Astyanax mexicanus: one gene and its partner. The protein of the gene in region 2 purifies or fractionates together with the protein of the main gene of each other region. This does not show direct contact. Links are inferred from orthologs where the notes say so. Each region holds a gene or a part of one and is shown on either strand. Other genes may lie near its edges.

The links. Proteins that work in one complex are often made in the same cells at the same time.
Region 1: the proteins of acbd6 (region 2) and nmt1a purify together in Homo sapiens (co-immunoprecipitation; 3 studies listed by BioGRID and IntAct, with this or other methods). This does not show direct contact. The link is inferred for Astyanax mexicanus from reciprocal best matches to the Homo sapiens genes ACBD6 and NMT1.

What each region holds. Positions count from the first base shown.
Region 1 is NC_064426.1:25,287,215-25,294,818, forward strand, and holds the start of nmt1a (glycylpeptide N-tetradecanoyltransferase 1), read right to left. Parts: upstream 3,053-7,604; 5' UTR 3,028-3,052; coding exon 2,918-3,027; intron 1-2,917.
Region 2 is NC_064419.1:9,253,639-9,261,011, forward strand, and holds the start of acbd6 (acyl-CoA-binding domain-containing protein 6), read left to right. Parts: upstream 1-4,357; 5' UTR 4,358-4,508; coding exon 4,509-4,649; intron 4,650-5,781; coding exon 5,782-5,846; intron 5,847-6,450; coding exon 6,451-6,547; intron 6,548-7,373. Other genes in the region: xpr1a (xenotropic and polytropic retrovirus receptor 1a), read right to left, coding at 801-869. UniProt on the Homo sapiens protein: Binds long-chain acyl-coenzyme A molecules with a strong preference for unsaturated C18:1-CoA, lower affinity for unsaturated C20:4-CoA, and very weak affinity for saturated C16:0-CoA. Does not bind fatty acids. Plays a role in protein N-myristoylation.

The sequences.
Region 1 (7,604 bases), on a different chromosome or scaffold from region 2:
ATGTTTCCAGGTTACATGCATGCACTAAATATCCAGCAAAATATTCTAATTCAGACATCTTACTAAGCACGCCTACTGTTTGGATAGAATTAGTTTAATTTAAGGAGGTTGGAATTGTGATTTTACAATATGTATTACCATTATTAAAACTTTAATAGTTTTTTTTTTTTTTACAAGGCCAATTACCCAACCCACTCATTAGGACTCCAACACCAGTGAGGTGAAGACATAGCACTAGCACATAGAAGGTTTGAGTGTAAATCTGAACTGGAAGAGTCTAGCATGTTTGACATCCTAAAAAGTATATCCACAGCAAATTAATTTGGCTTCTAAACTGTAGAAAACATGTCCATACATTAAATTTAATTGGACCATTTCATTAATCCTAACAATTTACCTACACCGCTGCCCATGTTTACACATTTGCGTTTGTGTGTCCACGATTCTCTGTCGCTCAGCAGACTTTGTGGGCAGAACCATGAGGCTTGGTGGACCAAAAACAACTGCTGCTGTCTGTGTCATGTGATGTGACGTGATGTGGGAGGCGTGGGCATAGGATAAGGCGAATTATGATATGCCATTTCTATGTTCCAAGTTTTGTAGCCATTTTAAATTCCTCAAATCCACGAGTCCCAGTAATGATTTTTTTTTTTTTTAGCTTCCATAGGACATGAAAAAAAAGTCACTGGATTTGATGATACTAGTTACGGTCCTATGACATTTGGCATATATTGTATAGTGTATTAAAAATAAGAATAAATAATTACATTTACATTTATGGAACCAAAGGTGGTTCTTCTATATTGCTTGTTAAAATTTTATATGCAAAAATCAGTTTGGCTGCAGGGTTTTTAGGACAGCCAAGCAGAAGCACATGTCATTCGTTGTTTGAAGACTGACCAATTGGTTAAACCAGTGGAATCAGATGTGCTGCTGGTTGTTTAGAATGAAAACCTGCAGCCGAATTGGCCATTTGCTGGCCAATTGGACTTTCCTGGCAAAGGACCTACACTATAAGAGTCTGTCTTTAGTAAAGCTAATATCCAAATAGTTCTTTATTATATTAATATAAAATTAATTTTACCGTACTCATACCAATCCCAAATTTAAGGCTACCCACAAAAATGATGCACTTATGTGAACAGCACAACCACAAAGCAATCAGCAGCTCTTTAAGCTTTGTCACTTACAAAGCAAATACCTGATTACAGCAGGGTTCACTTGAAAGAATTATATAAATGATAAAAGAAGGTGGAACTTGATATATGAAAGAAAAATAACAATTAACAGCAACTATATTAAAACATTGAACAGATGAAAAGATGAGGGAACACATAAAAAATATGAAAGACAGGTTGAACAAAACCTCCCTGAATTACCCTAGGGGAATTAGGTTATAATGTTGAAAGTGAAAGCGAAATAAATTGTTGTTTGCCTGATATGAAGCACGTTTCACCATATTCATATCCATATCTGCTGCCAAAGCACACACAGCACTTTATTGTGTACTCATTTGTGGCCTAAAGCATTTTCTTATTATCTAATGTTTTCCAGTTTGAGGGCTATATCTGTAGATATAGAGAACAATAGCTCTGTCCTATTCTGTGTATGTAGCTACAGTACCAAGCAAACCTAGAAAATCTAACCTAACAGTTTCTAGCTAGTAGCTAACTAGCAGTATACGGGCAAATCATGGTGTCTTGCTTTCAGTATTTGGTGATTTTGTTTTGTTGGCTGTAAGTTACGTCTTTGGTTTGGTTTTATGTGACATAATAAAGCATAGGTAATTTCCCAGCTGTGCTGCGCTATGCTAACTTTTAAGGCTTAAAACGTAGCTAACTATACCAGCTAAATAAACAAATTGCAATGTAGCTAACTAAGTTACATTCTGGACAGGTTTATAAATATGTGTTATCGTTAGCTAACTAACTTTGCCTCCCAGCATACACAAATACATTTGGCCAAAACAGGTGTTCACCTTCTGAAATGTCACTACATTTATAAATGTAACCTAACGTGGAATACCTTAGAAATGACGCCTAAATGTAGAAAGAAATTCTGAGAAAGAATTTAAAAATGTAGATTAAACTGATTAAAGCTAGCTAGAAGGCTGCTAGCTACAGACATGCTGGCTAGTCTGGTCTAGTTAGCTAGCTGTTAGCAAGGACAGGGAGGCCTCTATATGATTTCTGTTCTAGTTAGCTAAAGCTAACTTAGCTAGCTAGCGACCTGCTTTATCCATTACTAACCTACAGCTTAAATGCTATAGCTAGCTATTTAGAACAAGATGGATATAATAGCTGGATATTTACTTATATGGCCATCTAGGTTATTTTACAAAGTAACAGTTGGTTATTATATTAGCCAGCTCGTTTAGTTACCCAGGTTAGTTAGCTAGATAACTTGCTAGCTAGCTAACTAACCTGAGTGTTAACCTAGGAACCCAATCGCTCAGGGTGGTTCATGTGCCAGTAAGCTCAACATTTAGCCCATTTAAACAACCCAGGCATCAATATAAACATCTAGCTAGTACGAACATTGTAGCCAAATGTTAAATAAAGTAATATTTATACTATTATGTCCCAGAAACTAAAAAACGTGGTTAGAAATGACAGTATAGCAGCGCTGAGCTTTCAACACAGAGAAGCAGCTTAGCTTTGAGCAGCAGAACTAAAGAAACGAGGTTTTAAGTCCCGCCCATCTCCTCACAACCCACCCGTATGCTCCAATTACAGCGTAGAACGCATTGTCAATCAAACAAACAGACCAATCCCAACCGTCCAATGGGCGGGTTCCTATGACTCCCGTTCCTTTGGCTTCCACTGACCCAGCCGTATGACGGCCGAGCATTTAAGGCTGCGGACCACGACTGTTTTAAATCTCTAACCGCAGCAGCAGCAGAGTTTGCATCGCTTACCCGTCGTCAAAATGGTGCTCTTCATTTTCGCAGTCGCTGCAGTGTCCGTGGTCCTCTTCTAGCTCCTCTTTTTTCTCCGGCTTCGGTGCTGTCTCATTCTCATCCGCCATGTTTAACCAGGAAATGAGGGACTGGTCTTGTAAAAGTCCGAACACGCCCACTGTCACACAGCCTTATGGTCAATGTAGTTCATAGCAACACACGAGGAAGAACGTTAAAGAAATAAATACAGAAAGGGGACTTTTGGTCAATTAATTTTGGAAAGGACGTAATTTGTTATCTAAATACTTGTTATATAAAAAACTATATTTTTGAACATTCATTTTTTTTAACACGCCCCTTGACAACGGCAGCCCCATCAACTTAGCCACACCCTATAGCAACATTATTTGAGGCCCTGTCAGTAAACTAACAGATTGTCCCTTTTAATCTTTTGAATCGGTTCTTCCAATTTAAATATTATATCATATGCATTTTTACTTGTGTCCATTATCCAATTTGTGTTTATCAGCTCCTATTTGTGAATAAAATATCCATGCAGTAAATTGTAGTATGTAATATTTCGTGCAGGTTTCCCCACATGCATTCTATGTAATTGACTGTAAAACATTTGGGCAAAAAGATGTTTTCAGCTCGAGGCCCACATCAGCAGCCCCCTAAACCTCCAGAAGAGTTGGGTTTCCCTAGTAAATGTGTTTTACTCCCTCCTAACCCTTCTCTTCCTCTCTCAACCCAGGGAGACTTGTTCATGAGCAAGCACCAGAAGATTGCAAGACTGTCTGTGTGCAACAGGAGCTTCACAGTGCACCTGCACCCTTAACCCTGTAGTGGCCAATGAAATTAAGTGTGGACGTGAGCTTGGCCATGCAAGGATGTGTGTAACAGTTTTTGTAGGTGGTAGATTAGATTTTACACTTCTGAAGGCTTATAATAGTTTTTACATCCTTAGTGTGTTGTGCGATTATACAAATGATAACAGTCCTGACATTGGCCAGCATGTATAATTGATAACAGTTGTGCACATTGTATCTACTGATACAATACAACCAGAAAACAGAGTAGGGCTCTTAATATGAATAAACGGCTTATCTCTAAAGTGTGTTGTATTTTTGATTGTCTTGTAGTTATTGCAGGTAGCAAAAGTTTGTTAAATCAATATTCATTTTATCCTTGTCTTAATCAAAACATTAGTGCATATCACTTTTTATTTATTCAACATTATGGTTTTATATGTGTTGTTTGTATTAAATATGTATTTTCATAATTATTATACCTTGTACTGATATTCTGGTGTATAAAGGGCCATTTAAATAAATATCATAAATGACATATTTAGGGGAGCACAATTTGTCTAAAAGCATTGTGAGTGTAGAAGAGTCCCAACTACTCAAAGCCTTTAATAAACATTGACTCAAAGTCTGAATTTTACCACTAACAAATGCCTCTAAGGGTATGTTAAATAAAAGGTTGTTTTTTCATCAACATTAAAGGTGTAATGCAACCATAACTCAATGTTAATCAAAATGTTCTTTGCTATCTGGGACATATGAAAACCAACACAAACTTAGTATAATGCTTACTAGTGTGGCTATTAACCAGTGTTCCAAATACATTTTGTTTAAAGGGGTTATTTTAATCAATAGACTCTGAATCCAACTAGATACAGTTCTGTGGTACAACCTGATGTTCAAGAAAGAAAGCAGACAGAGAAAGAAATCGACATGAAACATAAGACACAGTTTGTCAAATTAACTTTTTTTTTTTTTTTTTTAACATTCCACAGGGAACAATATATGTTTAGATTCTGGCAGTGGTCTAAGAACCACTGCATGTCATCCATTTCTTTTTTAACAAAAAAATGAATGGGGACAGTACTCTCTCTGGGAGCATTTGCTGGTTTGAAGAATGAAACTGCTGCAGTTCCTCTGCCACTTCCTCCTCCTCCTCCTCCATGACTAAAAGTCTACATTGGCCTAAAGCATGCGAAGATCGAGCTTTTGAATAGGCTGGTGAGCAGGTTCAGTTTTTAGAGAGGGTGGACAAGCAGGCTCGTTTTTTTGACCTAGAGGGTGAGCATGTCCAAGCTTCTGATGAAGAGAGGAGGGTCTGACCTGCTGCACTTCACATGTCCCAACGTTTGACCTCCATTTAACCCTATGCACTGTTTCAGATGATCTTCTTAAAAGCATCTTGGCATTGAGGGCAGTGGTAGTCTAGTCATCCTACAGTCCAAATTACGTCTGCATATCCTGAACTCTGTAAATAAAACACCAGTTTTTGTTAAGCATGTCATGAATGCTTAACATGTGTGATTCATCTTTACATAAATAAACTTAACTTTGAAAGGAGACTGAATTCTTTAAATGCACATCTAGGTGGCTTGTTGTCTGTATCGTTTTGCTGGTTTAAACTTTGGGCATACTGGGCAATGAGCATGTGCTGCATTTCTTTATCTGAAAATAGCATTCAAATGGAACAATGGAATGGTGCGTCTGAAAAAAGAAAAAAAAACAGAAATCGATCACTTCACAATAAATGCATAATCAAAGAGCTTTACACTGTTCACATAGATGTCATTGAATAATTAATTACAGACCATTATCTATACATTACTTACACAAAATGGCAAAAAGTAAATAAGGTAAGATAAGAAATGGTTGGTGAACAAAATGACAAAGATTAAATTACAAAATATTTCTGACAATTATTCAAAAGACATTCAAAGTGGGCTCCAGCTAGAGAAGTCGTCGCAACCTCCTCACTTGTTTCCATTAGACTGGGACCATCGCTGCTGTTGGCATCCTCCAGCTCAGGAATATTTAGGACCTCTGTCCTCAAAGAGAAAGACTGAGACCCCTTGATACGCTGTGATACGTGTAACAGAACCTTTATCATAAATACAGTGTCTTGCAAAAGTATACCCCTTGAACTTTTCCACATTTTGTCACGTTACAGCCTCAAACTTAAATGTATTTTATTGAGATTTTAAGCGATAGACAAACACAAAGTATTGCATAAGTGTAAAGTGGAACGAAAAACATACATGGTTTTCAAAATTTTGATCAAATAAACATCTGAAAAGCATTCAGCCCCCCAATACTTAGTAGAGCCACCTTTCAGTGCAACTACAACTATAAGTGCTTTGGGGTTTGTCTCTATCAGCTTTGTGCATCTAGAGACTGAGATTTTAGCCCTATTTCTCTTTATAAAACAGCTCAAGCTCAGCCAAGTTGGATGGAGAGTGTCTGTGAACAGTAGTTTTCATGTCTCGCCACAGATGCTCAATGCGACTGGACCATTCCAACAGATGAATATTATTTGATCTAAACCACTGTATCTCCAGCTGTATGTTTAGGGTCATTGTCTTGCTGGAAGGTGAATCTCCTTACCAGTCTCAAGTCTTTTGTTGCCTTCAACAAGTTTTCTTACAGGATTGCCCTGTATTTAGCCCCATCCATCTTCCCATTAACTCTGACCCTCTCTCTGTCCCTGCTGAAGAAAAGCATCCCCAGAGCATGAAGCTGCCACCACACCATGTTTCACAGTGGGGATGATGTGTTCAGGGTGAGGAGCAGTGTTACTTTTCCTCCACATATAGTGCTTTGCAATTAGGCCAGAAAGTTCAACATTGGTCTCATCTGACCACAGCACCTTCTTTCACGTTTGCCACAACTGCAAACAGCAATTCATACATTTCTTTTAACAATGGATTTCTTCTTGACACTCTTCCATAAAGGCCATATTTGTGGAATGAATGACTTATGATAGTTGTCCTGTATACAGATTCTGCTACCTAATTTATGGATTTCTGCAGCTCCTCCAGAGTGACCATGAGCCTCTTGGCTGCTTCTCTGACCAGTGCTCTCCTTGCTTGATCTTTCAGTTTGCACTCAAAAAAATAAACTCACCCTGTTGTTGATTTTAATCAAGTATTTTTAATTAAAATTACTTAACAGCTTTGTGTTAGCAAGTGAAACCTGAGTCAGTTGGACTGCTGTGATGAAAGTCAGTTAAGTTGTCTGATTTAATTAATAAGTGCATGTTTGGTGAACGCATCCCAGTGAAGTAAACTCAACAGGCTGGCTACTTTCTTCATCCGGGACATTCGTGGCTGTCTGTGGACTTCTCTTCAGCAGCAGCGCCATTTTATTTTGGAAAAGCAGAGAGTGCGGTGAGTATTAGTCATAAATATATGTATATTTAAGCTGTACTTGGTAATTTATTAAAAGCGGTTCGTGTGTATGGGGAATTTAGGTAAGAGAAACCTCACTGTGTAATAAAATATCTACCTGGCCAGTCAGCTTCATGTTAGCTAGCTAGCCAAGTTAGCATTAGCGTTTTTTTAATCACAAAATGCTTTTAAACTCAATTCACGGAATTGCGGTCGCATCATGTGGGTCTCGTAACCTCAAATAGTGTACATTTTAATTTTACGTCTATCTGGATACTCATATCTGCCAACCAATGTGTAAATTACGAGCTATGCTAGCGCTAGGGCGCTAGCGTTAGCTTGCTAGCGTTAGCTTGCTAGTGTTAGCTCGCTAGCGTTAGCACCCTAGCGCCAGCATAGCTCGTAAAACAAACTTTTAAACTCAATTCACGGAATTGTGGTCGCATCATGTGGGTCTCGTAACCTCATATGGTGTACATTTTAATTTTACGTGTATCTGGATACTCATATCTGCCA
Region 2 (7,373 bases):
AATAATCTGGAATAAATCTGAACAGGTTGGAATATCCTATAATAAATCTGAACAGTTTGGAATAATCTGGAATAAATCTGAACAGGTTGGAATAATCTGGAATAAATCTGAACAGGTTGCAATAATCTGGAATAAATCTGAACAGGTCGGAATAATCTTTAATAAATCGAAACAGGTTGGAATAAGCAGGAATATATATGAACACGCTGAAATAATCAGGAATAAATCTAAACAGATCGGAATAATCTGGAATAAAATTGAACAGGCTGAAATAATCTGGAATAAATCTAAACAGGTGGGAATAATCTGGAATAAAATTGCACAGGCCAAAATAATCTACAATAAATCTGAACATGGCAAAATATTCCAGAATAAATCTGAACAGGTTGGAATAATCTGGAATAAATATGAACAGGGCAGAATAATCCCAGAATCAATATGAACAGGTTGGAATAATCTGGAATACATCTGAACAGGTTGGAATAATCTGGAATAAATCTGAACAGATTGAATAATCTGGAATAAATTTGAACAGAACAGAATAATCTGGAAAAAAATCTGAACAGAACAGAATAATCTGGAATAAATTTAAACAGAACAGAATAATCTGGAATAAATCTGAACAGGACAGAATAATCTGGAATAAATCTAAACAGGTTGGAAAACTGACTTTAATTCAAGAATAATTCAGGTCCAAAGTTCACGGTCATGCTGTTACACTTTATACACTCTCTGACCTCACTGACCCCTGAGTGTGTGTGAGTGTGTGTGAGTGAGTGTGTGTGAGTGTGTGTGTGTACCTCATACTGGATGTACTGTTTCCTCCACTCGGGGGTGATGTGGGCTGAAAGGTGCTCAGCGAACTTCATCCTGAAGATCCGATCACTCCCTCACCCCCCGCACACTCTCTCACCCCTCAACACACTCCACACACACTAAAGCTCCGGGATAATCTCTGCCGTGTGTTTGTCCGCGCGCTTATCACGCTGTCAGAGGCATATCCGCGAGCCCGAGTAAACAAACTCAGTCCGAGAGAAAGAGAGAGAGGGAGAGTTACACAGACTGAAAGAGAGAGAGTCTGACTGAAGAACTGCGACTGAATCTGCTGTAACCCACTCACTGCCCCGCCCTCCTCAACAGGCCCCGCCCCCTCTCTCATTCTGCCCCTCCCTCCTCCCCTGCGGCGTACACCGGCCTGCGTCATGACGCACAGACGCGCTGCCGTTTATTTAAATTTAACATAGCACCAAATATAGCAAAAAATAAATAAATACAGATAAAAAATAAAAATAAATAAAATAAAATAATAATAATAATATGTTAAAATGTTACAGCTACTTCATAACATGAAAAAATAATTAATTAAATATTCTACAACTATTACAAATTACTACTATTAATTTAAAAAATAAAAAAATAAAACTACTACTATACAGTGAACTTGCCTACATTATTAGTATTGAATTTTAAAAAAGGTTGATTTAATTACTATTACTACTAAAATATTAATAACAGTTTAATACATATGTTGTATTTCACAGATTTCACAGCTGAGGCTGTCACAAAGCACGCATAGGAAAAATTATAATATACCAAAAATTAATAACAAGGACAACAATAATAAAGAAAATAAAAAAAACAATTCATAATTGATTAAACCATCAACTACTCAATTACTATGACTATTACAACCTTACACATATACTACTACAACTACTACTACTACTTCTATTACAACAGCTACAACTAAAACCATAACAACTACTATTACAACTACTACTTCTACTACTATTGCTACTACTGCTACTACTATTGCTAATTATATTACTACACCTACTACTGCTGCAACAACTACAAATACTACTAGCACTACAGCAGCCTGGTTCATTCTGAGAACTCTTTTTTATGCCACTGATAAAAATGGTAAACATATAATGATACAATTAATTCAAATAGCAATTAACTTGTAATTATTGGCATACATATTTGTACACTGTAATTAAAACAAATATCGTAATAAGTAGGTGCTTAAAAATTGTAAGTAAATAAGACATAAGCAAAATTATTTAATTTATGTTAATAGGCTCTCATGCCTAAAAAGGATGCTGAGGTTAGCAAAACCATTGAAGTCATGTGGATATATTATATAATAATGGGATGAGTTATATTTGTGAGAGTGTGAGACAATCCAGTAGCAACATCAGTCTCCATCATTAGTCAGACAGGACCGGATAAAATCAGCCGAACCTGAAATCCTTGAAAGAGTAACACTCAGTATCTACAATGAATTATTCAGAAGTTATTCAGTATGAAATATGTCTTTAATTTATTTATTAACACGCTCCTGAAAGCACTGTGTTAAACATAGGGATAAAAGAAAGGTTGGAAAATAGTCGTGTGAGTTTTTTCCTCTGAAGAAGCAAACAGTCAGCACTCTGTGTGTGTAAAACGCACGGACACAGCGCCACCCTGCGGGCTCAGCCAGTAATGCAACTTTATTATTCAACATAAATAAACACTGTACTAATTTATGGGCAAACAAAATATTAAATATAATTAATGTTTTTCTTGTGGTAATTAAAGTAAACAAAACAAGCAGCAAAAAAGCAGCAAATGTTGTTCAGCACCTCCAGGAACACCTTTAAGACACTGAGAAAACTATTCCAGGTAGTTTTCACCTAGAGTGTGCAGATCTGTACTCAAAGATAAATGTGATGCTTAAAATAATCTAAAATATAAAACATAATTTGGTTTGTTTAACACTTTTTAATTCACAAAAACTGAACTGTATAACTTTATAATGTAAAACATCACTATTTTTAAATAACTACAATTAAAAATAATTCATCCTTTATTTTATAAAATTCCAAACTATGTAAATCTTGGGAACATAAAAATAAAGCTCGGCTTTGATTGGTTAGAAGCTCGTCCCAGAATGACGCATACAGGTAAAAATGCATAAAATGCTTTCTTTATATGACAGAGTTTAAACAAACAAACAAACAAACAAACAAAATAGATAGACATTAGAAGATATTAGATATTAGAATAACAGATAATTGAAGAAAAAAATAGAAAAATAAAGCTCGCCCCTGATTGGTCAGAAGCTCGTGGTCTTCGAGAGCTTGCTCCTCTCTGATTGGCCCAGGTCATGCTCGCTGCGAAACAGCACGCGCTGTGTTTAATAAAACTCAGATTTAAGTTATCCAGAGAATCAGTAAAGCCGGATTAATCAGACCGAACTCGAACTCTGTATTCATTCTGTAATCCCGCTCCACCGTTCAGTCCGGGTCAATCCGGAGCATTTACAGCGCCGGACCTGCCCGGACCAATAGGAACCCACTTTTATTTACGCCTGTTTTCCGCCATCTGCAAATCCTGACCTCTTACTGAGTGGCTACTTCGAATAAAATATATATTATAATAACATTAATTACAATATTAAACAAACAACATTAAAATATATATTTTTGTTGGTTTAAGTAGTTATAGATGTTACAGTAAACAATGCAACATAGAGTAAATTATATAATAATTATACTACTACTTACTACTTATTATTTTAATGCTGGTGTGTAAAACAACCAACATAACGTAAAATAAATAAATATGATTAATCCATTTTTTCTGTATATAATTCTATTAATCTCAAAATGGGTTACATAATTATAGAAATAGATTATAACTCAGCATATTTACATTCACTAAATTACATAAAATAAAAAACAGCTCAAATTGATATCATAACAACCACAATCCTATAAATAATCGTGAGTAAAATGCAGAGAAAATAGCGAATAATGAATCAGAAAATACATTAAATAATTCTGTAAATTGTGCAGCAACGTTTCTATTAAAATTAGCACTCTAATACATATTTATTAGGTAACGCATCAAACATCTAATAAATAAATATGATAAACAATCCTTTTTTTATTTTCTTTAAATTGTCCTATTAATCCTATGTTGATGTCAATATGAATAATTCATGACAATTTCTGATATATTTAGTGTAATAGATTATAACTAAGCATAAAGTTTAGTAAACACAAATAAAAATCCAGCCCACAGTTCACACCATAATCACACAATACTGTAAATAATCGAGTATAATGCAGACACAAATCCAGATAATGATTAATTATAAAATACTAAATAATACTAAATAACCCTTTCAAAGGAGCATTAAATAATAAAATACAAACTACATTTGAATGATTCGTGAACTATGTATAGTTCAGTAAATAATGGAGTCAAAATGTTAGTTCTGCAGATTTTACAGTGAACCAGCCAATCAGAACACAGCGGGGCACAATACGGGTGGGGATCTGAGGAGGCCCCGCCCCCGTGACCCGGATGTTGTGTGTGTGAGCGGTGTGTGTGAAGCTGAATGCTGTAGATCAGCAGGTTTATCCCGCAGCGTCGCTGTTTTTACTGTTATTAATAATAATAATTCGCGTATTAGTGCTGCTCCTCTCTGTATCATTACTCTTATTAATAATCCCGCCATGGCCTCGCGCTCGTCCTCGCCGGACTCTGACGGTTCGGAGCTTCAGGAGGAATTCGAGAGTGCAGCGGACCGGGTCAGAGAACTGGTCCAAACAGCACCCAGAGACAAGCTGCTCTACCTGTACGCCAGGTACAAACAGGTGAGAGGAGGGGGAGGGGCTTCTGATTATCCTCATATTAACAACCACATCTGGACACTTTAATAGAAACGTCCCTACCGTGTGCTTACACTTACTGGCCACTTTATTAGAAACACCTATCTGCTTTTACTGACTGGCCACTGTATTAGAAACACCTACTTACTATCTTGTGCTTCCACTCACTGGCCACTTTATGAGAAACACCTACTTACTATCTTGTGCTTCCACTCACTGGCCACTTTATTAGAAACATCTACTTATTACCCTGTGCCTCCACTCACTGGCCACTTTATTAGAAACACCTACTTATTACCTTGTGCTTTCACTTACTGACCCATTTATTAAAAACACCTACTGTACCTTGTGCACCTCTGTGGCCACTTTATTAGAAACACCTACCTGCTTCCACTGACTGGCCACTTTATTAGAAACACCTACTTACTTTTAATGACTGGCCACTTTATTAGAAACACCTACCGGCTCCCACTGACTGGCCACTTTATTAGAAACACCTACTTGCTTTCACTCACTGGCCATTTTATTAGAAAACACCTACCTGCTTCCACTGACTGGCCACTTTATTAGAAACAACTACTTATTTTCAATGACTGGCCACTTTATTAGAAACACCTACTTGCTTCCCCTTACTAGCCACTTTACTAGAAACACCTGCTTGCTTTCACTGACTGGCCACTTTATTAGAAACACCTGCTTGCTTCCACTGACTGGCCACTTTATTAGAAACACGTACCTGCTTCCACTGACTGGCCACTTTACTAGAAACACCTACTTGCTTTCACTTACTGGCCACTTTACTAGAAACACCTACTTGCTTCCACTGACTGGCCACTTTATTAGAAACACCTACTTGCTTTCACTCACTGGCCATTTTTATTAGAAACACCTACTTATTACCTTGTGCCTCCACTCACTGGCCACTTTATAAGACACCCACCTGCTTCCACTCACTGGCCACTTTATTAGAAACACCTACCTGCTTTCACTCACTGGCCATTTTTGTTAGAAACAGTGTATTTCTACTGTAATAACATTTAATAAGAGTAGTACGCTGTAATATAATGCTGTATAATGTTTATTTGTTCTTATAATGTTTATGCTGTTTATTCACCAGGCTAAAGTTGGAAAGTGTGACACACCCAAACCAGGATTCTTCGATTTCGAGGGTCAGAGAAAATGGTGAGTCTCAGCATGTTTACAGACAGTTGATTTAGACAGATAATAATAAATAAATAAACTGCATTACCCTTGTGGTATATTTAGTCACAGTTAATAACATGTTTAATATCTGTCAAGTTTTCTTTGTATTTGCATTTAACTAAATTATACATTAGAAGCATTAAAGAAAAACAGAGATTGTGAGGTGAAGGCGTGTGTTGTGCTGTTATATGAGTCGATCATACACAGCAGTGCTGCTGTAGGTTTTAAACGACTCACCACCCAAATAATAATAATAATAATAATAATAATAATAATAATAATAGCTGCTCTGAGTTGTTTTTCTCTCCTGTGGGGTCTTGAGTATTATGGAACAGGATAAAAGGAGGATAATAATAATAAAGTATGCAGAGAACAGATACAGATCTACAGTCTGTAATTTTAGAACTACACAGTGTCCTATACAGTCAAATGAATAATGTGTATAAAAACTAGTCATCATTTTATGATGTTATTGATCAGTGTGTATATAACTGTTACATCAGAACACAGATTATTTTTGGTCCTCTGTATGATATTATAATGCTAAGAGGTGTGTGTGTGTGTATGTGTGTGTGTTCTGCAGGACGGCGTGGAAGGATCTGGGGGATATGAGTAAAGAACAGGCTATGCAAGAATATGTGTCGTGTGTAAATGAGCTGGATCCAGAAGGGAGCGCTAAGGTACTTTTAAACCCCGCCCTTTCATACAGCACCACTCACACACCTGTCCTGCTCTTAAATGTTGTATATTTTGATAAAAGGAAATAATTTCAGTTGCTGCAGTCAGTATTGACTGCATGTGACCAGCAGATGGCAGTGTCTGACTGTTAGAATCCCTAAGCAACGTTTCCCTTCATTCAGCAAATGTTTTTTTTTTTTTTGATGACCTATGTTCAACACTATTATTAAAAATCAAATAACAGGTGTATTCAGTGGGATCAGTTCTATAAAATGTGTAAATTCCAGTAAGATCATTATTGAACTAAGGGAACTAAATGCTTTTGTATTACCAGTGCTGAACTTTCAAACCTGTTCAGACCTGTGTAGACCTCTGAACTAAACCAAATCATGTTGAATCAGTACTGAACTGACGTCAACTGAATCATTTTGGATCCGTGCTGGATTGAAATTAACTGAATTATATCCAGTAGGATTACTGCTAAACTGAGGAGGATTGAATCATTGCACCGAAGTGAGCTGTATCATTTTGGATCAGCATTAAATTGAATCATATCCAGTAGGATCGGTGCTGAACTTTTAAACCTGTTCAGACCTGTTTAGACCTCTGAACTGAAACAGATCATGTTGGATCAGTATTAAAGTGAAGGTGAACTGAATTGTATCTAGTAGTATCAGATCTAAATTGAAGAGAACTTAATCGTATCATGTAGGATCAGTACTAAACTGAACTGTATCAGTATTGAACTGAAGTAAACTGAATCATTTTAAATCAGTACTGAACTAAAGTGGACTGATTTTGAATGATGATCTGATCTGATCTGAGTCT